Linked DNA regions of Schizosaccharomyces pombe. Changing the gene in region 3 together with the main gene of any one other region gives a genetic interaction. Each region holds a gene or a part of one and is shown on either strand. Other genes may lie near its edges. The genes, in order: mis19, spc7, mal2 and dis1.

Region 1 (3,395 bases), on a different chromosome or scaffold from region 3:
GCATGGGACCTCGCATGTCCTTCTTTTGCAGAGGTTGGCCATAGGTTGGGAATTGCGATCCTGTGGGAATTAGTTAGTATGAATCAATTCATACTCTCACTTACTGTTGAAACTGAGGAGAAACACAACGATTAGTAAACCATTGTCGAATCCTTGATTCGATCAATTGTGTAATTTTAGGAATGTCTTGAAGCTTTGACCTAGCTCCCACAAGAGAACTTACTTGTAGCGAGATCACGAAATTGGGGTCAAATGACAAGTTCATATATGCAGGCTGGCCTGCACCATTGCTTGGGGAAAAATAAATCATAATCTAGGACAAATGTTAGAAAAGACCGTTATTAAAAGACGAAAAAAAATAGTCTATCGTAGAATACCACTGTGATACGATTTAACACTTGATGTTTCAAACCCCCGGGGGAGGGGTGTAAAGAATCGTAGAGACTATATACTATTAAGGTTGTAAATAGACTTACCTTTCCGACAAATTTACAAATCCTAACTGTAATGGACAATGGTAAGGTTGCAAACGCAGGCTTTGGAAAATTAAGTAAAAGCTTTGTGTCAACGGTGCAATTAATATTGTCAGTCAGAGAAACAAGCATCTCCGCTCGAAGCTGTGAGGAATTATGCTGATGAGGTAGAACCCGACAATGACTGAAAACCGGAAATCCGTCTCCAAGCGATAAATCTCGCACGTAAATATGATCAACCATAGACTTGTCTTGAGCACCTTTGTTGAGAACAGTTTCAAGTTTTCTCAGGGCAACATCGTTGGAACATGCATCATAGCGAAACTGTATGAGAGCTTGTGCTATTAGTACATTAAACCAATCCAATGATTCCGGCTCATGTTCATTAACATCGTAAAGCAGATTGAGTATATGAGGTTCAAGGATAGTAAGAGGCTTTTTGTACCTTTTTTTGTTATTACTTAAAGGAGTTGAAGGAGTCTCGTCAGGTGTTTCATTCCCCGTTTGTTTTGGAGAGTTTGCTACAGACTTTGGAATTGGACTACAAAATAAAAAGAACCGCAAAAACACATAAATAATGGCCAGTGTCAACAATTGTCCAACTATTAGTCCTTGTGTAAAACTCCCCTGCGGCAGGTGTATCATTTTTGTTCATAAATATACTAAAATACCTCGAATTCGCTAATCCCGAGAATCAAAACCGTAAACGGAAAAATTAGTCTTCGCTCTACAAGAAGAGTATAAATTAAACGTCTCAAATACAAGAGTTAACTGCTTAGTAAGTTGAGGCTTTCTGTAATATATATATATATTTTTTTTTTTTCTTTCTTGTAGGTGGTCTACGTAGCATTTGCAATTACAGAGTTCATTGAGCCTATTTGTTTGAGTCCAAAACCGAAATCAACTAATTAAACTAATGGACTTCAATTAAAAAAGATTATTAGTAAATTCATTAAATAACATGATTTGTTTGAGAAAAGCAACTAATTATATCAAATTATTGACTTTAGATATATAAATCCTTTATGATAATATATATTACATTATGAAATTATAAGAGAATATTACTTTCTTGTACTCTTCACATGTGTATGGCATGCTCATACTCAAGGGTAGGAAATACACTAGTACGCGTTTTACTCTTCCAAAAGGAGTATTAGTTAAAGTATCTTTAATAAACGACAATAATTAGTTATTCTTTCTTTCGTATATTAACGGACTACCTAATTTTCGAAAGTTTCTCCGTCTGTGATATTTTATTAAAATGTTAAGCAAATGGATTTAATGCCGTTAGAAAAAGCAAGAGCAATTGAGATTGCATTTGATAATGTGTTTCATAATACAAAAATTCCGGACAATTTGCAGCAATTTGACGCCATATTGAAACGACTGGAAAGACGGAGATTTATACCAACGGAAAATCAGAAACCAAGAGTGTACGAAACAGAGCTACTTGTACTGCGATTTCGCGAATTTGGGGTGAAAGACAACCATAATCATCCAATAAATCTTCATTCTCTTCGGTCAAAAAGCTTAATCAGGGCACAAGGTAAAAAACTTGATTTACATAATCGAGTATTTCTAAGAAGAAATGTTAGAGCAGTAAAAATGTGATTAGTACCTTTTATACGATAATTTTGATGCATTAGTAACTTACCCAATGTGAACTTTACTGAACTTTATACACAACTTACTACAGAAAAGACTCAATCACTACATGTTACGCATATTTTTAAAGCGTTAATTTTCTATCAAAAACAAAACTGTAAGCGTTCATAACTTCTTTTCAACCCAAATTCACGTTTACATGAATTAAAGTCATAATTCAGCAATATTTTCCATTTTAGCAAAAAAAATCGATATGAGTAGCTTTAACAACACGGTGAAAAAATACCAAAAATAATAATTCTATATAAATCAAATCAAAAGCGGTTTTATTTCAGCTTCTCTCTCAAAAGACAAGCTAGAACATAAAACAAAAGAGAGGGGAGTGTATCAAATAATAAATCTTAAAGTGAATTAGTTATCCTTCTTGCTGGCATAAGTGCGATCATCTTTACCCTCAACGGTGTATTGAACTGTCTCCATAAAGCGAATGCGCTGCTCTTGCAATTTCTCATTGCGAAGTTCGGCGTCAAATAATTCTTGGTCTGGTTGACGATATGAACTGCAAAGACGATCAAACAAGGTGAAAAACTGACCATAATTGTAATTAAAGTACATATGGTGAGCAGCGTGATGAGCAGCACCATTTACGACAGCGTTGTTAGAAAAGTATTTGCCGTCGTGGATGAGTACGGTCCAATAATTTACTGATCCAAAAAGCAATAAGTAAACATACTTATTTAAGGGAAAGAAAAAGGGAAACATATGATATGGAAGGGATTGACTGTATCCATCAAGATAATGAAAAGCGTGAGAAGAGTAAGGAGTTGGAACAATCCATTTGTGATGAAGCTTATGCAAAGGAGCGTAAAGCCAACGATGATGCAAAGCGCGGTGAATCCAGTAAATCAAAAAATCAGAAAATAGAAGGAAAAGCGCGATGGAAAAGAAAAGATAAAAGTAACCATATTCATCAAGCTTATCATAAACATAACCATATCCACGAATTTCAGCAAGAAACCAAGGAGCTGTCAGAATAGCCATACCGGGTAGATTTTTTAAAGCAACCATCAATTCCAGATGCTCCTGATTTTTTAAAAATTTAGGGTGCCTTCTGGCCTCCTCTCGATCAAAGTACACATAATATGCAAAACTGGCAGACAAAAAGTAAGACAATGTGCCCATAATCCAGGTAATGAGGAACAGGCTGGTGAATTGACGCCACACATTGTTACGATCAAGTAATCCCGACGTGATAGCAAAGTTTACTTTCTCAGCAAGACCCAAGGTGGTAGAATTTACAGCAGTATTAGCAAA
Region 2 (9,776 bases), on a different chromosome or scaffold from region 3:
GCATAAAAGGGTGAGGATAACCAAAACCAAAAGAATTGTACCTATGCCATTCAAAACTTCGGTAAAGTGGCCCTGGCTTTGACCAGCTGCCCCGACTAAAGAAGCTGCTCGTCCTACGAAAGTTGAATCGGCTGTTGCTGTTACTACCATAAAAGCTTCTCCACGTTTCACCGTTGAAGATGAGTACATGGTATCATTTTGGTGTTTATCCACTGCCAAAGATTCACCGGTGATTGCGGATTGATCCACTTGGAGAAAACAATCCTTTGTAATAAGGCGACCATCAGCTGGGCATATAGTTCCTTCATCAAGATGCAAAATATCACCTGGAACAATTTCGCTGGCCTCAATTTCTTTCACTCTACCGTCGCGAAGAACGCTTGCCTTTAACGCCATTGTTTTCTTTAGTTCATCAACAATGGATCCTGCTTGATATTCTTGAACAAAGCCGACCGTTGCATTCAACAACAGAAGAGCGCAGATCACACCGAAATCAACCCAATCACGGAGACCTGCTGCTAATGCAGCAGCTAGCTCCATTACAAATTGAATTGGACCCACAAAAAATGAAAGGAATTTTTTAATATTATTTGTCTTTTCTTCTTTCATTTGATTAAGACCGTATTTCTTTTTCCTCTCTTCGACTTCAGATTCTGTGAGACCGTATTTGGGATCTGTCTCAAGGAGCTCTTCGGGGACTACTTTAGCAGCTCCAGCAGGTCCAGGAGATTCCTCCTCTTCTACTTGTTCTTCTTCTTGATCTTGAGAATACAAGTCTTCAATTAGGGCATCAATATCTTCGTCTTCATCTTCATTATCACTGCCTTCGCCGGTTTGAGGACGGGCAGGCTTTTCATGGGAAGCAGATAGCGATGGAGATGTAGTAGCCTCCTGTCCTCGGGAGGTACTTTGAGTTTCATGGGTAATTGATGTGTTACCACTTTGCAAATTCGCTTGCTGAGCATGAGTGTTAGGTGCGGCAGTTAAACGTGGAGCTGCGTTTCCTGAAGCGTTATCATAATCGACGGCGGAGTCTTCCACTCCCCCTTCCTCATAAACTTCTGTCCTTGTGGTTGAATCATCTTGAGGAGAAGCATTATTCTTGAAAGGATTGCCGTGTAAAAAGCGGCTAATTCTATGCATACCCTCAGGTCGCCCTTCGCCGTTATTTCGTTGCATATTAGTCAAAGGTTATTAAAACGACTATGCGCAAAAGATTGGTGAGGATGAAAAGGTAAAAGAACTGGAATTGGCTCTATTGTTGTGTATAAAAGACTGACAAAATTTGTTTGAATTGGATGACAATTAGTAAGTCGCCAGCCGTTACGAAGGACTCCTTTTTATAGTAAAAGCTTCAAAAAATCATGCGGGGAACAATTGTAAGCCTCTTATTGCGGTTTGGTTAGCTCACAGCTTATATTCGTCTCCTATGCGTATTATTGACTTCATTTCTCCCTTGGTTTGCTTTTTGACCTAATATAGGCGTGGTTGCAGACTCATTTAGTAATAATACCATCTTATAGGTCAGTCTCGTAACAATGCTTTCATTATTGTGTAAAAATTACCGGTCGATTACCTGAATTTGCAATTGTCTTTTATATTTACTAGGAGCTTCATTGTACCCGGAGATAAATATTATTGAATACTGCGTGGTTTTATTTTTTTATTTTTATAAATTTACAATTTTATTATTAAGCGGATCGTTACATAAAATATTTAATGGGTGTGATTTCTGTATTTGTTTATGTTTGGATACATTAAGTCCACTTGTTTAGAGAATATTTATGATGGAGCACTCATAGAAAACTTCGTGATTCTTGGGATTTCATTATTTAGTGTTGTAACGAAGAAATACTTGTCTTATTGTGTGTTTTTTTCTTTTTTTTTTGGCACAATTTTGGCTAATCCTTGCAATTTGAAGCATTAGTTTGGCCCCTTTTAAGTAAAGTTAGTATGCTAAATGAATTGTGGAATAATCTATATTTTTGCAATTGTTAAAGGACAAGCCTGGACTGCTGTATAGACAATACTTTTTCTATTTTTATCAAATCTTCCTCAGAGAAGATGTCTGACGCCCTTTTTATCATGTCACACACATTATGCTAAGTAAAGGATTCTAGTGAAATACAGTAGTTATGCAACTATTAATAAGTCATTATTAAATTGAAACATGTTATGTCGTTTGAAACTGGATAACATTACGATACCGGAGATTTGTGACCATTTATATCGTAACATTGACTAAATCCAAATGGGAGAATGATATTGGGCTAACCAAGTCTGCTCGTATTTGAAGGCTTATACCAAATGCAACGAATAGAATATCATACCATACTACGGGATACACGGGATTTACAAATATCCAATTGTAAGAATTGTCAATTTCCCGGATTTAAAAAAAAAAAAAGAATGTTAGTATTGATGACAAAAGCCTTACTTGTTTGAAATACTGAACAATTATCATTCGTTTATACAACGCTATCCTTCCTGTGCCGAATATAAACATTTTACGTCCTTTTGTATTTCCATTCTTCAAAGAAATCCTAATCGTGGTATATGATTTATCATTCTAATAAAAAATATTAAGACAAGCGAGCTCAGCCATACTTGTTTTTTTTTTACTCATTTAAATGTTGTACAAATGCTAGTTATGTTACTAAGCTTTACTGTGATTTGAAAGCATTAGTGTTGTTAATAACACATATGGATTATAGTACATAATATATCAATTTCAGGTCTTAGCAACGCAATCGTAATCTGACTTAAAAGGATTTATAATTTCTATTTGTGATCAATATATCATCGTAAAAGGAAAAGTACACGAATTAATGTCTGGTCAATTTCACTATGGCTAAGTATAACCATGGAAATGAACAGGAAATAGTTCAGAATGAGCTAGCTTATATTTGCTTAGCCGGTAACCTTTTATAACCACTTTTGAATAGTAAACAATGATGGAACAGGTTACGAGAACCTCAATGGAAAGTAGAACATAGAATTACATGTGGTTGTAAGTTCATGGCAATATCCATCAAATTATAGAAATACTAACAATAAACAGTTTTTTTCTCGATTATTGATTATAAGCCGCTGGAATGATATTAAATAAACACACTCCTTTAAAGGAATATTCACGAGTATTATTATAATATACAATTTGCGAAATAATAATTTATAACAACCTCGCTACAATTTACTTATACTTCTTACAACCGCACATTGCTTTCAAGTTAATCCATTAAATTATGCCAAAAGAACAGTGCGGCTCATTTGACAAAACATTCAAGTGAATCTTAGATATCTATACCTTTTTGAAGTTTGTATTCCTCCATCACAGTGCGCATATGCTTGTGATGCTCATTACCTTATTGTTTACAGAAAACCCAATATTACAAATAGACCCAGTTGAACAAAAGTACCCCCAATTTACCTTTACTTTATACAATTTGTTAATGATAAGAATGAACAACAGTCATATTGTTCATTGGAACTTTTACAAATAGGATCTTTATTCATTATTTATTCAGATTAGCTAACAGGAATGATTACAGAAAGCATCATCGTAGTCTACCGTATCCTAAAAAGGCTTACAGACTCCTTAAATAATACAACGAAAGGCGTTCTAGGCCGCAAAAAGAAACTCACCGCCATAAATTTAACGAACTATCATTACAATTTCTTATGTTCGTCTTAATCTAAAAACAACAAAGTTCGTGTGTCGACGTGCTTTGTTTAACTTGACGATGCCAACATCGCCTCGTCGCAATAGTATAGCGACGACCGATAATGTTATAGGAAGAAACAAAAGTAGGAAGCGTCCACACTCGCTTGGAGGACCTGGTGCGCTTCAAGAACTTAAAGAACACACAAATCCAGCAAAAGGCATTCTAAAGAGTTATTCATCCTTTTCCGTAGATCCCGCTTTCACAGGAGATGAAGACTTTAATGATATACACACACAAATAAATAACACGGTCATTGGAATCTCTAGTAATGTTATGGCTGCGTCAAAGAGACTTCAAATGGAAGACCTACAGCAATTGTCGCGTGAGACGTCTAGAAAAAGTTTGAACAGAAGAGTTTCCTTTGCTAGTCATGCACGTGTACGTTGGTATCCTAAAGATCACCAGAGTGACTCGGAAAAGTCGACATCTAATCACAGCACACCTGAGCGAACTTTTGCATCTGATGCTAAAAACCATTCCCCTAAAGGTCCAACAACGACAAGTTTTTCGAGAAACGAAACACAATCATCTCCCCATAGTCATAGTGCCTCGATTATTTCAGACGGTAGTGATATGGACATTGCGTCCCCTATTCGGTCAACCGAATCAGATATGGTCTCTGAGGCATTGAATGCTGGCCATCCGCCTCCTTCTCTGTATCCGGAGAATGATGATTTAAGTATCCAGAATCCAACAAAAGCCTTACCTGAAGCAGAAAAGGCACTTGATGTTCACGATGCCACGAGAGAGCAGGTTAATGATAGAGAGGAAACTAACATGGATTTGACTATCCAATTCCAAGAAGCAGATTCGTTTTTATCACATTCCGAATCAATTAAAGGTCTTAGCTCTAGCGAGCAAGGTACTGTTTATAGTTTAAAAGCTTCTCATGACCCTTCAAACCAAACTCAACTTTCATCCCCTAACAAATCATCTAGTCCAACTAGTATTGAAATTTCGGATTTCTCCAAAAATAACGAAAATCACGATCAGTCGGAAAATAAAGAAGAAGAAGAAGATATGATGCTAACTCGACCTATTGAAATTCCGCAACACTTTTCCCCCATCGCTCGCCCTTTAACTTCCCAAGAAGCTATTGTTGACATGGATATTACCTCTAATAACATTAATTTATCTCCAGTGTCTCATTTTTCCAATGGCTTAGATTTACAAAACTTAGAAGAAGCGCCTATGAACCTTACCCGACCAATTAATGCTAATCCTCACTTAACTAATCATTCTCCGAACGATTTAACTAATGGAGAAGAAGAAATGGATACCACCTCCGCCTTTAATATCGAAAACTCACATTTAACTCTCCTTTCCCCCATTCGTCCATCGTCACGATCCATGGAAGAGCAAATAATGGACTTGACACAACCCATTAGCTCTACAAATGCACCCACCCATTTGAATGAAGATGATTTAAATCAATTTACCTCAAATATATCCTCTTCTTCAAAACCGAGAAAGGATAATAACAAGACTGCCAATTCTTCAAAGCCCATTCCCGACAGTGAGGACTTTATGGACATTACTAGACCTTTCAATATATTATCCCCTTCTAAAGAAGCACTTTCCGAAGAGCAACCAATGGAATTAACCTCAACAGTTTTTCCTTGTGAGAATTCTACATCTCATCTTGAGGTGGAAGAAGCTGCTATGGACGAAACAGTGGCTTTTCAAATCCGTGGAAACAATGTTGAGTTACCTTCAGCAGACAAGGAAAATGCCGAGAGAGAAGAAATACCCTCATATAGTGATAAGTCAGAAAATTTCAATACTACCTCCTTTACCAACCATGAACGGTCACCAAATGGGAACAATAATCTAAAATTTTCGAAAGATCCTAACTCTTCTTCTCCAAGTAGACATGTGGTAGCGACTCCTACTGATAAGCTTGGTACTCGGAAAAGACGCTTAAGATATAGCACTTCAAGTTTTGATCAAAGTACCTTGCGTCGCAATCGTCTTGCAACAATCCGTAATGCTCGAAAATCAATTTCAACTTTGAATGACAGAGAACTTCTACCGGTTAACTTTTTCGAAAAAAAAGTAAATTCTGGTCTCTATAAATCGGTTGAGCGATCCGAAAATTATCGTCTAGGAGCTACTCCACTTACCGCAGAGAAGCCATTCACCACAGAAAAGCCGCTTTCAAGTCTTCCTGAAGAAGTTTCAAGGCAACCCACTGATGACAAAGGCGAACAAGTGTCTAATGCAGATGTTGATTCTGGATTGAGTAAAACAGAGCGACTAACAATTCAACAGACTAACGAAATTAAGCACGTTCCAACTAATACGACTTCTTCTGTTAAGCTTCCTCAACAACCTTCGAATGAGGATGAAAAAGAGCGTATAACAACTGCAGATTACGCCGATTCAACTAGTTTGGAGCGATTGGAATCTCAGGAACCCAACCGGAATGAACTTGTTCAAGTTGGTTCGTCAAATGCAGGTAATACAACTTCCGTGGGCATGAATGAACATGAGAAGTCACCCGTCAAATTATCAAAAGGTGTGAGCAATGTTGATACATCGTTGGGCGCTTCGACTATTAACACGAACATTTTGAATCAAGACTCTGGTCCAAATGAAGAAATACCTGTTGGTAATGAGCCAGAATTTGATACGATGCCAACTCTACCAAACGTCGAGCCGATAAGCCTATCAGATTTTCTTAAAATGACCGGAATTGAATTTTTGGATAATCTTACTATTGCTAAAAGACGAGAAACCCTATTGCCAAATGCTGAAGAAAATAAGAAATGCAGTATCCAAGAACTTTTGGAATCTTTTTACATACAATTCCCTTTGTTAGAGTTATACAAATTTAGTTGTCAGCAATTACAGGATTATATTGCCGAAGGGAAGGATTTTGTTACTAAAATTGAAGAGGAAACTTTGAAAGAGAACCCGTTACTATTCTATGAGTATAGGAAAGCATCCAGTGATATGAGGGTTTTAATGGATTCACAATTTTTAATGATGAAAACTTTTGCTAGACTTCAAGCAAAAGGTGATTGGTACGAATGGCGTGAGGGTTTGATGCAAGGAATCAAACATGAATTAAATTTAAATTTAACTGGGATGCAAAGAAGCTTGACCCATTTAATGGATGTCGCGAATGTTATTCATCCGTATGCGCAGGAAATTCAAGAGAGATACAATGGTAGTATTACTACAGTACAGACATTAAAGAAGCAGAAGGAATTTGCAAATCAGTATGACTCAACTCTTCTAGCGCAGGCGCAAGAAAAGTTAGAGAAACTCAAGGTTGAGGTTGAGAGGAGACGTCGGCTTCTGAGTGAAAAAGAAGAAAGAAGAAAGGAGTTGGCAATAAAGATAGAACAAGTGACAAACTCTTGCTCTGATTTGGAATTACGTACCAACGCTGAACAAGATTTTTATGCGAAAAACCAAGATTTTGAATTTGACGAAATTAAGCGATACGAGGAGCAGTTGTTAAATCTTAAAAATGAACTTGGCTGGACCATAGTTTCTTTGACCGCGGGCGGAATTAAATTAGCTACAAATAACACTGCTCTTTCTCCTTATTCAGCCGAGGTTACGGTTGAGATTTTGAGGCAAAATTTCCAAGTTAACGTTGATATTGCCTGTAAGTTCCCTAACGAAAGTAATGCTTGCAGCTCAAATGTGCTCGAGCATGTTGCATCGTCGTTTTCTAAATGGCATTCCAAGGTATTTTCTAGGAACTTACGTCTTCTGAAGAAGTATCTTAACGATGTTTCAATTTGTTGGGAACAAATTGTTTATCTTGTCCAAGATTTCCAGCGATTATGGTACCATTGGCCCTTTTTGTCAGTTGAAAATGATGATAAGTCTATTATCATAAATGTTGAGCTATACCTGCGTTCGGTATCATCTAAGGTAAAGGTTGTTTTCGGTCTCCCAATTGATACTATCTACCAAACTACTGAAGTAGGAAAGTTTTATGCTTCTACATCAGTCGCTGTGAAACAGATGTATGCGGAAAGTGAAGGAGACTCTTATGTTAGTGAGGTTTTGAATACTCTTTCGGAAGTGGTGCATTGTACATCAACTTATGCCCTTTCGTCTGCTTGTCTTACTGTTTGGAACAAATACAGCTAGATATTAATGGGAATGATTAGCTATGCTGCGCCGAAGCGACTTCCTTTCCCAATATTCATTTTGTGCTTAACGCTTGGAAATATCATTTATCCTTGTTGTATACTAGTTCATTCGTTTTCGTTAATTCACATGTTACTAAAGAAAATGTATATATTTTATGCTATTTAATATTGGTGAAATAATAATGGTAGATCTTGACTGATAATGAAATTATAAATCTTTTTGTTAAACCCGTAATGCGCTACAAAATAAAGTGTTTAGTTAATATATAAATAAACTATCCATAATTAAAAGATTCTCGGATGTGCAAATCTGGTGTAGTAAAGTTTCACATTGATCTGATAAGTACGGGATCGACATCTTACGTTCTCCTAGATACATATATACACAATCGATAGAAGAGACCGATCCTAAACAAAACAAAGATCTTAACTAATTTAAGAGAATTGGACGGATATTTAGATTTTTATAATTGAAAGTCAGACGCTGCTTACAAAATTATGAGTTTGCAAGCTCAAATTTTGCAGAATTGAAATAGGAGGTTTTTTAGATTTTTAGGCTTCGCTCGGATTATTAAGTTATCCATTTTTTATTTTTGAACACAGTTTAATTAAGTAAGTCAAAGTTCCTGAACCTCGTCTGCAATTTCTGATAAAAATATTAATACACTTAAAAATAGATTGCATCCGCAATCGAAAGTTCACAGACAGCCGGTTGAGCCCTAATTTCCAGGTTTTCTACATATTTACTTCTTTAGAAGTTTTGTTTTATATATAGATATCCCTTTTCTTGAATTAACAGTACAAAACTCACTATGCTGAAAACGTTCAATTCGTCAGCGCGCTCATGTCGAGCGATGCCGCGTTTTCTACCGACATTGTGCAGCAGATTGCACGAGAAATCTGGCTTTGAAATTCGGAATGCTGTAAGAATGCATAGTGTTGGCTCTCACACTCATACCCATGACCATGGATCGGACAAAGAAATGTTAGAGCTTGTTAAAGCTTTGAAAAAAGAAGGGAAATCTCCAGAGCTGAAACTTGCGTGGTTAGGATTGTAAGTATGGAAAAGAAAAAAAGAAAGTCATCTTTTCTTATCAATTCGGAGCATAGCGGCAACAAAGGAACTGTAGCCCTAAAGTTAGCTAAATAACTCATGATATTTAATGAGACCATTTTTAAACTGGTACTCTCTTATGCTTTCGTTCTACGACAGATCTTTTGACAATTTCTTCCCTTTATTATAGATATTCTTGACTATTAACACTTTTTATAGATACAGCAATATAGGCTTAGCAGCCGCCAAAGGTATCGGCGGAGTTGCTCTACAATCTAGCATTCTTGTCGCCGATGCTGCTCATCAATTAGGAGATACACTTTCGGACTTGGTAACATTGGCTACCTTGAAAATATGTAGCAAGAAGCCCACACAAAAGTACCCTGCCGGTTTTGGCAAATGGGAAACCATAGGTACATTCACCGTATCTGGTTTATTGGTGGCTGTATCTGTAGGCATTGCTCATTCATCGTTATCGAGATTGTATACTATACTATTCCCATACGCTGGTTCAGAACACACGCACATTGGTCATTCTCATAATCCTTCTCAACTATTGTTTGAACACCCCTTTATGGCACTTGGCCTTATATTTGGTAGTGTTGTTCTTAAAGAATGGCTCTTCCGAAAAAGTAAGTAATTTCACCTATTATTGGATTCTAATAGTATATTTAGCGAGAACGGTGGCTCAAAAAACAGATTCAAATATCTTACTAGCCAATGCCTGGCATCATAGAGCAGATGCATTGACGGGAATGGTTTCACTGCTTGCTTTATCCGGCACTTACTTTCTTAATGCTCCATGGCTAGATCCGTTTTTTGGTTGTTTAGTAAGTATTGTCGTTTTTAGTGCCGGCTTCAACTCTTCTAAAAAGGCCTTCT
Region 3 (7,505 bases):
TAACAAAGCGTAAAACACACCAATCTATGATTGTGTTGGATAGATAAGCAAATTCACCGTTTGGGCAAACTGGCGTAACGCTGGGGAATAGATAGAAGTTAGGCGGCTAGCACTTTACCAATGTCCAACTTTTCGGAAACAAAATATCCACTCAAAAAAGGTGAGTTGTATGATGGATATTTAACTGACTCTGCAGTATTGACGTAGAAAAGATAACCAGTAAAAGACAAACTGACCAGCAAATTTAACAAATAGACTACGTAGTCAGATAAAATTTCGGTCTTGATTTTAGCGACGGGGTAAATATACCGTATTAGATAAACCCAGCGGATTGAAGAGATAAGAAAAAAAATTTTTTTATTTGCAAGGAAAGAACCAAACAATTCCAATCACGAGGCAATAAATTCTGAGCTTTCAATTAAGAAACCTCAACAATATAATTAAAAAGAAGAAGAAACGGAAAATATTAATAATCTGTTCCTTTAACGAAAAAAAAAAATTTCGATATAACAATGATTGTCCAATAGGGGAAAAACTTGTTCACTCACAAATTACTAAGAATGAAAAAAAATCAAATTGACCTTTTCGCAATCAGAAAAAAAAACACAAACAAATAGATGTGATAATGAATAGATAGAAATTAGGATGGAAAAAGGCACGCACTATTAAAGATGTATTAAAATCTAAAGTGCTTACAAAACCAAAGTAAAGTTTATAAAATTATTATAACAATAAATTTGACAACTTTTTTTATCCTGTTTATGTAAAACAACAAGAAAAGTAAATATGAAAAATTATAATAGCAAGTCTCAAGATTGTAAAAGACTTCAAGTGCTTTCTTTTCCTGTTTTAAATATAATTGGTATGAAAAGTCAGCAATAACTCGTCCAAAGAAATATTAATGGATCGTTATATTCAGACGATGCAGACTGCAACCAGTTTCATAAAATAAAATAAAAAATTAAAAATAATACTTTAGCAAGTTTTCAAACTGCTTAAGTGAGTTCTGTAAACAGAGGCTTGTAGGCAAAACCCTTCTTTATATAAAATCGTTATCTGGTCAACCTGTCCTTATCTCGTCTCTATATCGTTGCTTTTTCATCACCCTCGGTCCTTATCTGCATAGAGCGAATTGAAGGTGCGAGATATCCAATCATCACACGGTGGTGATGGTGCATATATGATAAGGTGCAGTAGGGGGGCCTAGTGCAGCCGAACTCGCTGTAAGGATTGGCAAGGGTAAGGAGGATACAATGAAGGAGGACTGTAAAGGGAAGAGCTTTCAGTCGTAAATTTACAGAAAAAATCTAGTTAGGAGAGAAGGAATTCGCCTTTGAATATGATACTTCGAATGGGAAAGATGAATGGCATAAATATGGCGGAATTTTCATCCTAATACAGCCTCGTTACTTCTCTTTAAACCCATTTAATGAATCGCTGAATATTGCCTAATACTAAGCTTGTGATCGGGCGGTTTCACTGTAAGGTGATTGGAACGTGGCATGGACTATGATAGTGAAACCCTGGCCTATCGTAAGTGGGGGGAGTGGGGGACTCCCCGATGCATTGATAAGTGTGACCCAAAAAAACAAGCGCTAATTCAATGCGCTAAAATACGATAAAGGTGCATAGTGACACGCGTTAGATCATGGTATATGAGTAGCAATATTGTAGCAGAGGAATAATAGGGTTGGTAGTAAACGAGTATATACAGTGTTTATAAACCGAAAGTCGAATAGTAGGAAAAATAGCAGTGATGAGAGTCGAAAGACGAACATCAATAATTTTTGTTTCTGTTTGACTTTTGATCGTTGTTTATGGACTTTTCCGTTTTTCAGTCAGCAGTGGTAATTTGTGTTTACACTCGTATGCCTTGTATGCCCAGAACTAAAGCTCATCTAAGCAATCCCTACTATAGAAGAGAAAAATAAATAAATAAAATAAATAATAATAAAAAAAAAATCTACCTTACTTCATTCAAATTTATTTCATTGGGTTTTATTTTCTTTTTAGTAATCACTTTAACTCACCGCTATTTTGGAAATTGTAGATTTTTTATTGAATATCGCCGATTTTTAGTGTTTTACAAACTGTAAGCCCAATGTCGCTTGAACCCAGTTTTACAGTCTGGATGAATTGATTTTCTTTGTATTACAAAGACTTTTCTATTAAATTTTCATTTTCTCAATTGTATCAAAGACATGACAGCAAAAATCAACTCGACACTATGAAATATACTATATAACAATTGCCTGTTTTATAGATGCCAAACTGATTTTATAAAAAAGAATGTAAAAGAAAATAAATGAACTAAAAAAAATTTAGTTTTCTACAAAAAAGCAAAAAGCCTACAGCACCCCGGATTCCCATGTTGTCTCCAACCATAGTACTAACGAGGCCCTCAGACGCTTAACTGCAGTGATCGGACGGGAACTGGTGTTTTCGCCTAGGTATGGCCGTAGACATTTGCTTCATTAATTTAAACTATATATACTGTAATTAAAGAATGTAATTTATCATGTTTGTTCTAGCTCATTGTAAACAAATACCACTTAAAAGTTCACATTATATTATTTAACATTGAATAATACATTCTCCCTTTGCATTCATTTAACACAAACTTGGCTTTTGTCAAATCAAAACCCCATGTACATTCAACGATCCTTAAAACTGCTACAATGTATAGCACTTGCGCGCTCATAATCTAATATTAAATATACAATTTTGTTGCTTTCTTAATGCAATATGAATGTTTTAAGGGATTGTACGTGAAGAGCTTTAATAAAAGAATTGTTAATAGGGATGCACTAATTGGTGAGTTATAAAATGTAATGATTTTAAAATCATTTATATAAGAAGGAAAACTACCTTCATTTTTTTTCTTTACTAATTTATTTTTCTTTTTTTTTAATGTCATTTTGTTAAATGTCATTATTTTTTCTTCAAAATAATTCTCATTTCCTGGATTATGTCAATTTAATTCTATATATTTTATAAGTTAAATTTCTTTGTTCTTGTAAATAACCATTCTGTTTTCTTTCCTAGATTTTAATTTTAATTTTTTTTTTTAAACTGGCGATTTAATTATCTTCAATTTTATATAGTTATATACAACTTGTCCGACTTTGCTTTCTATACATTTCTTTGTTATTGTAACTCATTAAGAAAATATTTAATTTACATATTATCAAACAGTTAAAAATATTGCATAATTTTTCGTTTCGTTGCAAATAGATTTGCAATCTTCATTTTTTCCTATCCATTACATCTTCAAACCTACCAATCTCTAATTTTGATCTAATTACAAATCTCGTCTAAAATACTATTCCAGTTCGAAACTCTGAAATGCTACAGTGATTAAATTATAAAAGCTGCTGTGTATTTCGACGCTTTGACATACGTGGACGAGTCTAAGCGTAACTGAATTTCTATGCTTGGTTCATGTTATCAATAAGGCCCTAAGAAACTGTTGAAACTACAGTTTTTTTAGTTCCATGAATTTTTTTTGCTGCCATGGACGATGAAGAAGGCAATGCGACACTCATCGATGAAATTTCCGTCCTTGAAGCCAGAAGGGATGTATTGCTTGATGAATTAAAGTCTTTAGATAATGCGACACTGTCCGATCTCGTTCAGAAGCCCGAGTTGTCCAAAAATTTATCTGTAAACAATGAATTTCTGAAAGAGACTCCGTTAAATCAACCTGCACTGCATTATGATCGACTTTCTGGTATTTCCTTTTTCCAACCCAATGATCCTGAGGAGTTATCTAGAAAGACCCTTCTCGTAAAAAATAAAAAGACAGGAGCCATTGAGACTGCTCCTTCTATACCGCTTCTTGGTGTCCGGTTCGATATCATGTTGAATCCAGTAAATATAGGCTTTACGAATCTCTCAGAGAATCCAATATCTTCCGCCTCTGGCATGGACGAAGAACTAGAAGGTGGAAATAGATTTGATGTTCCCTATTATATAATTTTTCGAGTATTTCACGACTCGTTTGCTTTATATAAATATACGATTCCAAGCTTTCTGAACATACAAGAATGGGCTGACGAGTATTTGACTGGAAAGAACCCTGAAAGGTTTAGAATATTTTTGTGGAAAGTAGATAAATTATTGACCGCATATATCTGTCGTAAAAACGCACTTTTACAAATCAATAAGTCTTTGACAATTGATGGGACAAACATATCTGCCAATCTTTCTTGTACACATCTTGTCATTCAAATTCCGAAAGTCATTCAAGCTACCCTTGTTTGCTCTTCAGAATCCACTAGAGTGGTCAAATCAAGGATATATCAGTATTCTGATGAAAACTGGAAAAGAGATCACAGACTTGAACTATCTTTATTAGACAACAAACGTTGGGTTAATATACTTGTATCACACCTAACTGCTCCAGAAAGTCATGCTTCGTTATGATTGTTTATTACCATACTCTTATTATTATTAGACAGGGACTATCTTTTTATACAAAAAACTTTATACTTGTTAGTTATTTACGATTGCACCAAATAATCGTCCATATTCCTTAATTTCCGCCTTGGTTTCATCCTTTTCTCTACCTGTCTCTCCAGTTGCTCTTTCAGTCTAGCCATTCGATTTCCATTTTCAGTAAAATACTCAACGCTTCTCTTGAAAAGGAAGCACATGTATTCACGAGTAATGTAAAACTGAAGCTTTTCGGATGCTGTAAGACATCCTATAGGAATATCCATTCGTAAACTTGTTCTAATAGCCACAATAAACTTCTGCTCACTACCTTGAATTCCTGTTTCCCGAAAACCGCAGCTTGCTGCTACTCTTTGCAAATGCTGAGCATTCGCTAAACTTCTCGTTTGAACATGCAGAATCATGGGTTCAAAAGCGTATTGTATTTCCCGATTTCCTTCTACCGGAGAACTGGGAACCTTTCCGTATTCCACTTTTTCATCTTCTAAAACCGGTGGTAGTTCTTCATGTGCCTGATGACTAACGAAAAGCCAGTATCCACCTCCTTTTCTGGAATTTGCTCCTTGTACATAGACTGAAATTCTTCCTGAACATGAACTAGTTGTTACCCAATCCGGGTGGGAGTTTATAACATCTAGCAATGGAAATATTGGGCTATCTGGGTGTCCTTTGGGTGATGCATCAGGTACGGAGGATTTCAAGCCTTCTAAGATTTCTTTTTTTTGAGCATCAAATGATACATCTATTCCTTTTATATTCATTCAAATTGTTCTTCAAGGAACTCCTTGCAACGACTTAATTCAACTCGTTGGTGGATTCTTACAACTTTTCAACTTGCGTTGTCAACTTGCCAAATCAAGCACCTACATTTTTTTTTCTAAATTCAAAACAATATTTGCAGATTCGTTTGCTCAAACCTAATAAATAAAAGAAATCAAATAGAAAAAATCATTTTTATGGTATTTTCGTACGCGCTTGAGTAATTTATCAATCCATGCAACAAACAAGTTCCACTGTATAATATTAACTTCCTAATTAAGGCTGCTACAAAAACCGTCCCCCACTTTATCTAATTTTATGAAATGAAGCGTTCAACTGGAGGAACGCAACCAAAGGGACTAAACGTCAAAAGGTCAAAGCTCGCTGATGCTAGATTCATAGAGGTTGAATCACCTGCCCTTTCAAATGGTGCTGTAGACTTAAAAAAATTCATTGAATCAAGGAGTTTTGAAATAACGGCTTTACAAGATGCTATGAAAAGATCAAAAGAATCCAGCGCTCAGCGTGCTTTCCAAGCTCTTCCTCGATGTTTACGAAGAAGAGCAGCTTCTCATAATATAAAAAGGATACCTAAAGGTTTAAGGGATAGAGCTTTATATGAAATGCAACTCAGTTCCTCATCTACTTTGCCCATTGCACCTTCCAGACAACGGTTAAAGAGATTCATCAAACGCTTGCGAAGAAAGTTAGCTAAATCAGGTGAAACCAAAGCAATTGACAGTACGGGAAGCTTGGTTACAGACAATTCTACAGATGATTCGCGAATTCCGTCCTTGGCTGCCGTCAAGTTAATACGTGGAAAATTTGCTGGTCGTCAACTTCGGAAGGTATGGCTTCCCACTCATTTATGGGTATGCAAACGCGCACACATGATAAATGCTTGGGGATATGCCATTCCCGAAAAACCGACTGAGAAATCCTATCGTCCTACCCATCGAGCAGCTTTTCGGAAAGATGCAATTGCATTCGACATGTCTTATGAACCATTGTTTTGCATTAGCGGGCCATACGAAGCTCTCAAAGAAAAGTTTGGAAATTCTTTTGCAAACGGACTGCCTCCTGTATTTCTGAATTCTTCTAGATCATTTACATCTTACCTCGTGAAGTCTGACATACACGAGCTCATATGCCCTTGTTTTCTACAATGGAATAACCCTACAGAAGATGACAAAAAACAGATCCCTGTAAAAAATCCTACCGAATGTGTGCAGTTAGTTATACGTTTACATCCATCTGCATTTCTACAAGCATGGAATTACTTATCTGGTATAGCTGTTTTGGATGATCGCATTGCTATGCACGATTGGCGACTAGATCTAGCATCTTTTGATATTCACGGACCCGATAGCAACATTATGCTCCACAAAGTATTTGACGACGTTGAATTAGATGAAGCAGGAAAAGTTTGGCAGTCGATTTCCAATTATTCAAGCGCATGCTTACCCATGGGCGCCTCGATATCTGTGAAAGCATTAGTTAATACTCGTTGCGATAAAAATTTATCCGAAAAGGGAGAAAAAAGCTTATTAGATTCTGCTGAAAACAGTTTACCAGCATCTGCAAACCAATATAGCACTCATTTTAGGTATTGGGAGAGACAGGAAATACCCTCTTTTGCAGTTTTTGAGAATAAAAATAGACATACTCATGAGAAAAAATCTTCTGAAAAAGAAGTTATACCCGTGTATATTACGTATAGAAAAGAATGGAACGGACTCACTGTTATTTTGCCTTGGGATTATGCCAAGTTTGTATGGAGGAAGATGATGTATCAAAAAGGAATACGTTTTGGCGGATTAGAAAATTTGCACCAAATTGCGTTTGAAAAAAGAATGCCTTTCTTTCCGATTGATTATCCAGATACGATTAGTGGGCAACTTTGCGAAGAGGAAAGAAAAAAACGAAATGAAGATAGCTGGAAAAGACGTCCACCTGCCAAACGCGTAAATTATCAAAAATTCGGAGATAATTTTTCAGAAATAGGTAACCCGTTTTGTTGTGATTGGGTTTATCTAAACGAGATGGTTAAGGCTTCACGAGATGAAGATAAAACTCTGCAGCTAGTACGTGTTCAAGTACAGTTGGTGCAAAGAGGTAGCCTGCAAGATCGGGCTCGAATTTATTGTCTTAGTGACGATGAACTTAGTAAATGGAAGACCATCATTTATAAAGAAAATCTCACTGCTGAAAATTTGCTTTACCCAAAGTGTCCAAACGAGACGGCTATTATAGGATTCGTCACGACCGGAAATTTCAATTTGAATGCAGGC
Region 4 (8,638 bases), on a different chromosome or scaffold from region 3:
GAGGTGAAGAAAAGTTGTTTGAACCTGAAGTAGATAGAACACTTGACGCAACAGGCTCTCCGGTATGAGTAGTCCATACGCTTCTAGTATCGCCCGATTCGTTCAATGACGGTGGAGCTATATAAGGTGGTTAGTAAAATTCTCGACAAAATTAAACAGTAGGAGGTTTTAGGCGAAAAGTCAGTCAATTTTCAATGACACTATTTTACATTCCTCTCTGATATTTTAAACAATAATCTACTTACGCCACAGGCTTCGCAGAGCTTCCAAATTTGGAAGTTCCGGAATGGACTTTGATGACCTAGAAGTAGAGAAGTTTGTGTTTGACATTCAAATTTCTTTTATGTGTGATAAAAAGTATAATCTTTTTTTTTTGAAATCCTCTTTAAAATGCTAAAAATTTGTAAATTGAGTAACGGAAAATGAGTTGAAGCCAGAAGATTGTGATAAATATTAAATTAAGTTAATAAATATTCACCAAAATCCCTTGCTTTATATTTTTTTTACAAAAAAAAATAAAGAGAGAACCAAAAAAACCCCCCAAAAAACAAAATTGCTGGTCAATACACTAACTGAATTTATATCAACCACTATCGTTTACTTTAAAAGTCTTGCCGAGTAGAGAAATAAAAAAGCAAGAACTAGCAAGATAGATATACTCTTGAAAGAATAGCGGTAAGTCAAGTGAAGACCAAGCCCCAAAAAAAAGAAAAAAAAATATGTTTAGCCCAAAAATCACCAATTATAGCTTTTCACTTTCTTCAAAAGTTAGCTATTTCCCGTCAACTTTCAAAATAATGTTTGAATGTTTAATAAAACACTTTATTATAGGGTTTACTAGTAGCCTCCTTAGTGTTGGATTTCTGGAAGAAGGCAAGGTGCAGATAATCGTGAGAGAGTAATTTGATTACGGGTAATAACGAATACGAAGTACTTTGATAAAACAAATGAATATGAAAACCATCAATTACTGAGTAAATAAAAAAATTTCTATTTTAAAAGAGTTTTACTTTTTAATAAGTATTCCTTGTAAATTCACATTTCTTACAAATTTGTTCGGCAGATTCAAAAAATGCCCCGTGGCACAGAGAGATACTCAAAAGAAAGATTCTTTTTTAAGATTAAAAAAACAAAAAATTGCTCTGAGTGTAAATAGTGAATGGTCAAATGTCGACTAGTCGTTTCCATATTTACCATCAACATTATAAAGTAAATATTTGATTTGTAAATTAAAATACAGTCGACTAAAGTGTGGATAAAATGGCTAATACACAATACCAATGCTTTGACAGACAGAAAAGTAAGAGATCAAACCTACTGTTACCAGGGAAGAAGCGATGTAGCGACAAAGTCGAAATGCTGTTTGTGGTTCTTAAGCAATACGAAATTGTATAATATTATTACTAATATAAAGTAATCATAAAGGGATTCCAACATAAGACAACTAAAAATATATGAGGAGGTAGAAACACTTTACTAGTTTAAGTGGTTCAAGAAGCGTTCATCATTGTTCAGATTACGAGCAAAAGAATTATGGAGAAGGAGCTAAATACTTGAGATCTTCAAATATCTTATGAGTATAGCGATAAAGCTCCTCAACAAAGGCATCATCATGAGCGCGATGAAGAATACCACGCTGAGCAATTGCAGTGAAGTAAGCGCCGTTCAAGTGCTCTTTGGAAATCTCGGGACTGGTTGCAGCATATAAGGAAGTCATGGCGCCTCTGATTGGATCCAAAAGTAAATACTGGAAGACTGATTTCTCTAACAATTTGAGAGCAAAGGTAGGTGAGTAACGAGTCAGCTCGGTACGGATAACACCTGGGTGTAGACTAACGGAATATATTCCATATTTTTCTAAACGTTTGGCTAAAGCAATGGAATAAAGGATCTGGGCATACTTAGATTGTCCATAACGAGCAAAAGTACCCAAAAGTACATGCGGGAGATTTAGGTCAGGGAAGTAGATACCAGAATAAGGGGCCTGCAAATATGCAATGCTTGCGACGTGAACTATTCTAACATCGCCAGGTCGACATTCTTCTGCAGTACGACGGAGTGTGGGGAGCAAGAGCTCAGTGAACAAGTAATGTGAAAGGTAGTTGGTTTGAATCTGAAGTTCATAACCATCTTTAGTCAATTCAAAGGGAGGGTTCATGATACCAGCATTATTGACCAATATGTGTAATTTCTCTTCTTTGGCAATGAAAGACTCAGCTGCTTGGTACACGCTTTCGAAGTCTAACAAATCCAAACGAAGAAAACGGATCTTGGAATGTCTAACTTCATCGTGGATCTGTTTCATAACTTTTTGATACTTTTCCTCGTTCCTACCAGCCAGATAGACCTTTGCGCCTTTTCTAGCCAACTCGAGGGCAGTTACATAACCAATGCCACCTGAAGATCCTGTGACAAGAGCGACTTTACCCGTAAGATCGGGAATATCGTTAAAGGTCCATTTGGGTGTATTGAGACCGGTGTACTCTTTGAGAGTATTTACAATTGCGCTCTCATTCACGCGGTTGAGCAATCCCTGAAAACTGTAGGACATCGTAAAGAAATTTTTGAAGCTAATATCAATTAAAAAAAAAGAACTTTATAAACAATGAGCGGGGAGGATTTTATTGCAAAGAAGTGGCCAGAGAACAAACTTATTACCAATGTCTTTAACTCGAAACTGTAGCGATTATGAAATCAATCGATCAAGTTTGGAACAGATTCAAGAATAAATCAACAATTTTCTTTTAATAAGCGTTCTTAAGTTCTAGAAAACACTTAAATATCGTTCTCGTCGAATATGTTGAATATGGGTAAGGGTGGCTGCAGATGATAAGTTGCAAAGAGTGACGATAGCGGAAGAGGAAGCAATTCGTAATTTATACAATGACCGCTGACAAATTTCTTCAAAATCCAAGAAACTCAAGGCGTAACACGGCTTCTTTGCGGACCGAAAATTTGATCAAGCATGGTATTACATCGACTAGCTACTTTTGACTACTTGGCTTACAAAACGAAATATGGATTGTTTAGAATTGAATGTATGAATTGGGTGCTCGACAGAATATTGGAATCCTTTTAAAAATGTATAACTTGAACTTATTGTAATTGAAGAACTCGAATTCAGATTGGGCAAATGAAAGATAAAATTAGACTTAGGTATGAATAGAAACGAAAACTTAAAAATCTGCAATCTATAGGATTCCCTTCTTTAAACGAGTTAAACGTCATGTTTTATTCAGTAAGAGTCTTAGAAATTCATTTTTTCACTTATACTAGATCACAAGCATCTTACAGAGCCACCCAATAGCACATTAATCGGTTTCAAAAAGCAACTTGCATAAGGCTTAATATATCGGTGAACATTCCATTTGGGTGCTCATCTTCTGTTAGCATCATTTTGGTACGGTTTAAGATAAAGTTATTTATTTAAAGAATTAAATTACTCTAAAAACTTAAAATTATTGATGGTTTCCTCTTTTTCTCTGCTTTATTTACATTTTGCTCTAATAGTGTAATCTTGCGCTCGTTCATATTCAACAATACGATGGTCTAACGAATTGTGCTAACTCTACGGTGCTGGCTGTGTGAGTGAAACATTGTCGTCCGTAAAGTTAGTCGTCTCTATTTACACATGTACAACTCCAATTTCAGAGCCATACTCATTACTGTTTAGAATCCCGTCCGTTTCATTCGTTTTCATTTTTCTATTTGTCTATAAAATTCATTCTTTTACATAACTATTCATGCTCTGCTGGTTGTAAACATACGAGTCGTTAATTTATATTTGTTTATGTAAATGGAGTTGGACGATTTTAATAGCCGCATTCTCAGTCAAATTTTTGATAAGGTAAGCTTTTTACAAATTAATGGAGATAGAAGCTTGCTGTCCAGAAAAATGTAACTGGAATGAAAAGCAAACAAATGGAAATATCGTTGCAACGGCATTAAGGGCACTGTTGATCAATTCCATTGTATTTTACGATTTCAATTAGTTTTACTCATTGCTTTGTGTTTCCGTCACTACTCTTTTCATACCTGTTCTCCCTAGTATTGATGGATCTCACTTCTGTAGTGGGTTATTTTAAGTTTTTAGGTTTCTAACTGATTTATTTAGTCTTGGAAAGTTCGATTTGAAGCATATGAGTCTTTGTTGCATGCATTGAACCGAGCATTGGATGATTCAGACGTTTGTTTCCAGCCTTGGATTCATGACCCAGCATTATGGAAACAAGGGCTGTGTGATAGTAACGTACCAACACAAGAGCATGCCGTAAAATCTCTGCGATGCTTTTTAGACAAGTCTAGGCAAAAAGGAGTTAATTCTGCCAAATCGTTCGTTGTTGCTCCTCTACTCGAAAAATGTTTACCATCTCCTAGACAATCTATCCGTGATGCTTCTCACCAGGCTTTACTCATTTTAGCTAAATCCGATGCGCTGGACTATGTATTAGAAGGGTTATTTTCGGCGGCTCGCGTTAAGCATCCCAAGCAGGCAGTTGCTTCTATAAAAGAATTAAATAGTTTATTGGAGAATTTTGGAATCCCTGCACTTTCTCCTATTCCATTCTATAAACTGATTCCTACTTTGTTCGCCCAATCAGATAAGAATATCAGGCAAGAAGCTTCGAATCTATCCATAACCTTGTACGCTTGGGTTGGTAATGCATTCAAGACTCATGTGTTTCCTCAACTAAAGCAAATACAGGTCTCCGATCTTGAGGCCTCTTTTCAAAATGTTACATCTCGCACGACCACGGGAGGACATATTTCAAATTCCCTCAACACCCAAGAGGTGGTTCTTCCTTCTTTTTCATCGAATGCCAAACCCAAACCACATTTGTCCTCAAAGTCATCTTCGCAGGGAAACACTCTGCAACGCTCTACTTCTAGTTTCAGTACTCCTAACCGAAAGGTCTCACAACCTTCTGATTTTTCAGCATCTCCTTCCCGTTCCATTGTATCTCCTGCCAAAAACATTGTCGGAAGTACGCCCGTTGATGTTCTTTCCAAACTAACCCCAGAATTCCATACCGCATTATCTTCTCCCAAGTGGAAAGATCGAAAGGAAGCGTTGGAAAGCATGGTACCGGTGTGTTCCAATCCTGTTTATCAAGAGGGTGACTATAGTGAGTTACTTCGAGTGATTGCAAAGTCTCTAAAAGATGCAAACGTGGTGGTAGTGGGTGTAGCGGCTTTATTATTGACGCATATTGCCAAGGCGCTAAGGAAGGGCTTTCTTCCGTATACTGGTATTGTATTGCCTTCTTTATTTGATAGGTTTAAAGAGAGAAAATCGAGTTTGGTGCACTCTTTGCTGGATGCGGCCAATGCTATTTTTGAGAGCTGTGGGTTGAATGATATAATGGATGAGACGTTAGAATTTTTGAAGCATAAAAATCCACAAGTAAAAACTGAGACACTTCGATGGCTGAATCGTTGCCTACAATTGACGGATGTTTGTCCGCCTCGAGCATCGCTTGAAACGCTATGTAGCCTATGTGTGACATTGATCAACGATACGTTTGAGCCAGTCCGAATGGCTACCACAAATGTATTGGCAACACTTGTGCAAATTTTTAGTCAGCCAGTGTTGTCCAAGTATATTGTGGGATTGGATCCTAAAAAGTTACCAAAAATATTAGAACTTTCCAAGGACATTACGGTGAATGCGCATCCGAATCAACCCTCACGTCCCAGGCTGCCACGAGTGGCCTCTCCTTTAAAGACATCACCGGTTAAACTGGCTGTTACACCACAAGCACCTTCACCATTACCATCCTCGAATCCATCACAGGCGAGTTTGACAGAAGAATCTCTATCTACACGATCTTCGCCTACGAAACCATCGACGACGTCTTTGCGTAGTCAATCGTTGGTGAATAGATTTGCAAGTTCTACATTGAAAGCGCCATCATCCTCTTCAAAGGGAGTTTCGAATGCGGCGTCGTCAAAACAATCGTTTCCGTCATCCCCTTCGATTTCGAAAAAGTTAGAGACTAGTCGACTTTCCACGAAGAAGTTACCGGGATCAACGATGAAAGCAGCGTCGGCGCTCAAAGAATACCCACAGCAACAGTCTATGAAAAGTGGAGGAGAAAAGCAGGACAATTTGGTTACGATTACAATGTCGGAAAAAGTGGAGCTGGATTTGTTGAGAGAAGAAAAAGCCATTCGACAAGTTCAGGAAGCGGAAGATGCATTGGAGCGAGAACGGTTGTTTCGAGAGATCAATGATTTGCAAATTCAGAATGCAGAAATGAAAGAACAGGTGTATGAGAAAGAGTCTACGATATCGCAAAAGGAGGTGGAGATTACGAGTTTAAGGAATGAGAAGGATCGATTGAGTACACGATTGCAGCAAGTATTGTTAGAGTTGGAGAAGCAGCATGAGACGAATGAAGAAGCGATGGATATTGATTTAAAAGTTCCCGAGAGTGGAGCGATAGGGAGGGTGACGACAAGGGCGACAGCAACGACAGCAATGGACGAAAGTGGTAACGCTGGGATGGTATCGAGTGGTATTCATTCTGTGTCGACAAAGCCAAGTTCGTATGGGACACGGCGTTCGCTGGCAGGATCAATGTTACAAAAGCCGACGCAATTTTCGAGGCCGTCGTTTATGTTTTCACCAGAGGCACGAGACAACTGGAGGGAGAGTCATGATTTGTCAAGTCATTTGTGGGAGCAAATCCAAAGGATGAAGAAGGCGTAGTGCCCGGCGATGCATCCGAAAGTATGACTGATTAGGGCATGCTGGATTTAGCAAAGACGAAGAAAGGCAAATCGAGCGTCGTTTTTACGTGTTGTAAGAGAGGTCGTCAGTTTGGTGAATGCACAAGCGTGGAAATGCTGGTAGAGTTTTTTGTTGGAGTGTTTGTTAAAGTCGATTAGGTAGAGTTGAAATCACTCAATTTGTATTTCTAATTAAAGTCGATCATTTTGTAATGCTAATTGAAACGGTCAAGAAAGAAATCAGAGTTTTGGATAGATGAATAGGAAAATGTAGAAAAAGAAGAAAAGAAAAGAAAAAGAAGAATTCACGAGAAGAGAAGAAAAGAAAAAAGACAAATCACAAGAAGAAAAAGAATTCACGGGAAAAAGACAACTGCAACTTTTTTTCTGCGCTCCATTTGCCAATTCAACAAAGCGCGTCCCCTGTGCGCATTGCCAAACAAATACCACTAGCTTTAGGCTTGATCCTAGGATTAGCGAACAACGGGGGTACAGTGTAGTTTGGCGTAGTATGGAATAAGTAGGAACGAGTTTGTAGGTTTCCACGTTAAATGCAAAGTACGAAAGAGCTTTTCCACTGATAGATAAACGATGCATAAGGTTATACAGCACGTTATAAGGTATTGCACTATGCATTTTAAAGCAGCGCAGCAATTCGTTCCTTGCAAGATGGGCAAATAAAAACTACGAGGTGATAACAAAACGGTGTATTACTTTGCGAAAGCGAACGTACTGTATTACATTGTTAGTTAGTGTATTACGTTGTAAAATAATGCATTACATTGTAAAATAGTGCATTACATTGCACCTACTGAAATGCCTTGCATTCTGCTACATTTACGTGGTAGCTTACTGTACTACATTGCACTCTACTGCACTGCTTGGCACCCTCTTAACTGTCTGTCCTGCTGCGCACTGCCTTTGCGCACCTTTCCCATACCTCGGCTATATGAGACACTAACTTTATCCAATAGACGATCGCTTCTTGCGGCGTTTGGTTATCGTGCGCGCGCACCGTAGGGAAAGGAGGGAAGCAAGGCAGCGGCGGCAGAGCAGGAGTCTAGTACAGTAAGGCAGCGAGGAGGGAAAAGAAGATTTCCCATATGTCGGGAAGAGAGATTTGAGAGAGGGAGAGAAGTACGGACGGTCGGAGGAGCAGGAGAGAGAAGAAGAGCCATGAAAAAGGAAGTGAAAGTAGAAGGGAACTAGTAGGAAAATAGTAGGGAAATAATAGAGGTATTCTTTTGTTTATTTCGTTTAATTTTATTTTATTTCGTTTTATTTTATTTCGAGTATTCTTTTGTTTATTTATTTTCTTTCGTTTTATTTTATTTCCTTTTGTCGCTCTTTTTTCTCTCTTCTCGTCGCTACTCTAGCATTTCTAGCTATTATCAGTACATCGCCATGCCATGTGCCATGCAATGTTATGCTATGCTATGCCATGCCATGCCCGTTACACTCCCGTGTTCCATTTGGTGCTCCATTCCCGTATTGCCAAAGATAGATATTTCCGTATTCACTCGATCCTCTTCATCTTCCGAATAAACTGATAAAATTGTTGCAAGTATCTAATACTCATTCATAGTCAGCGTCGGCATTTTCTTAAACTCGTTTACAATCATTTCTTCTGAATTCATCTAATTTCTTCTGAACTCATTTCATCTTTCTTTTCTTCATTCTTACTACACTCATATCCCGTTTCACTCACAACTCACTTCTTCACAATATCACTCACTCTCTTTCGCTACTTCTTTTCTCTCTCTCACTTTTCCATTTCTTGTCACCTCGTTCCTTGTTACCTACCCTTGTTGCCTCTAACTTTTACCTTTTCTCTATTCTATTCTCTTTTGTTTTAACCTTTTTTTTTATTTTTGTTTCATCCATATTTATCCATTTATATTATCTT

What was found.
Region 1: mutations in mal2 (region 3) and mis19 impair growth when combined (synthetic growth defect), as found in Schizosaccharomyces pombe (one study listed by BioGRID).
Region 2: of mal2 (region 3) and spc7, extra expression of one rescues a mutant of the other (dosage rescue), as found in Schizosaccharomyces pombe (one study listed by BioGRID).
Region 4: of mal2 (region 3) and dis1, extra expression of one is lethal in a mutant of the other (dosage lethality), as found in Schizosaccharomyces pombe (one study listed by BioGRID).

Annotation. Positions count from the first base shown.
Region 1 is NC_003423.3:1,321,983-1,325,377, forward strand, and holds mis19 (protein Mis19), read left to right. Parts: upstream 1-1,748; coding exon 1,749-2,087; 3' UTR 2,088-2,392; downstream 2,393-3,395. Other genes in the region: ERMES complex subunit Mmm1, read right to left, coding at 1-60, 105-313, 477-1,118; C-5 sterol desaturase Erg32, read right to left, coding at 2,493-3,395. UniProt on the Schizosaccharomyces pombe protein: Component of the CENP-A recruiting complex that ensures the integrity of mitotic spindles through maintenance of kinetochore factors mis6/CENP-I and cnp1/CENP-A.
Region 2 is NC_003421.2:784,582-794,357, reverse strand, and holds spc7 (outer kinetochore KNL network protein, KNL-1 family member, blinkin, Spc7), read left to right. Parts: upstream 1-3,697; 5' UTR 3,698-3,743; coding exon 3,744-7,838; 3' UTR 7,839-8,069; downstream 8,070-9,776. Other genes in the region: P3-type proton ATPase Pma2, read right to left, coding at 1-1,179; mmt1 (mitochondrial iron ion transporter), read left to right, coding at 8,653-8,894, 9,114-9,526, 9,570-9,776. UniProt on the Schizosaccharomyces pombe protein: Acts as a component of the outer kinetochore KNL1 complex that serves as a docking point for spindle assembly checkpoint components and mediates microtubule-kinetochore interactions.
Region 3 is NC_003424.3:4,182,010-4,189,514, forward strand, and holds mal2 (kinetochore protein mal2), read left to right. Parts: upstream 1-3,272; 5' UTR 3,273-3,513; coding exon 3,514-4,425; 3' UTR 4,426-4,502; coding exon of another isoform or gene 4,503-5,216; 3' UTR 5,217-5,407; downstream 5,408-7,505. Other genes in the region: wybutosine biosynthesis protein Tyw3, read right to left, coding at 4,503-5,216; pop100 (Rnase P/MRP subunit), read left to right, coding at 5,538-7,505. UniProt on the Schizosaccharomyces pombe protein: Component of the kinetochore, a multiprotein complex that assembles on centromeric DNA and attaches chromosomes to spindle microtubules, mediating chromosome segregation and sister chromatid segregation during meiosis and mitosis.
Region 4 is NC_003421.2:339,238-347,875, forward strand, and holds dis1 (TOG/XMAP215 microtubule plus end tracking polymerase Dis1), read left to right. Parts: upstream 1-3,627; 5' UTR 3,628-3,796; coding exon 3,797-3,847; exon of another isoform or gene 3,848-4,114; coding exon 4,115-6,712; 3' UTR 6,713-7,005; downstream 7,006-8,638. Other genes in the region: YTH family RNA-binding protein Mmi1, read right to left, coding at 1-117, 246-330; SPOM_SPCC736.13 (dehydrogenase), read right to left, coding at 1,532-2,551. UniProt on the Schizosaccharomyces pombe protein: Has a role in sister chromatid separation.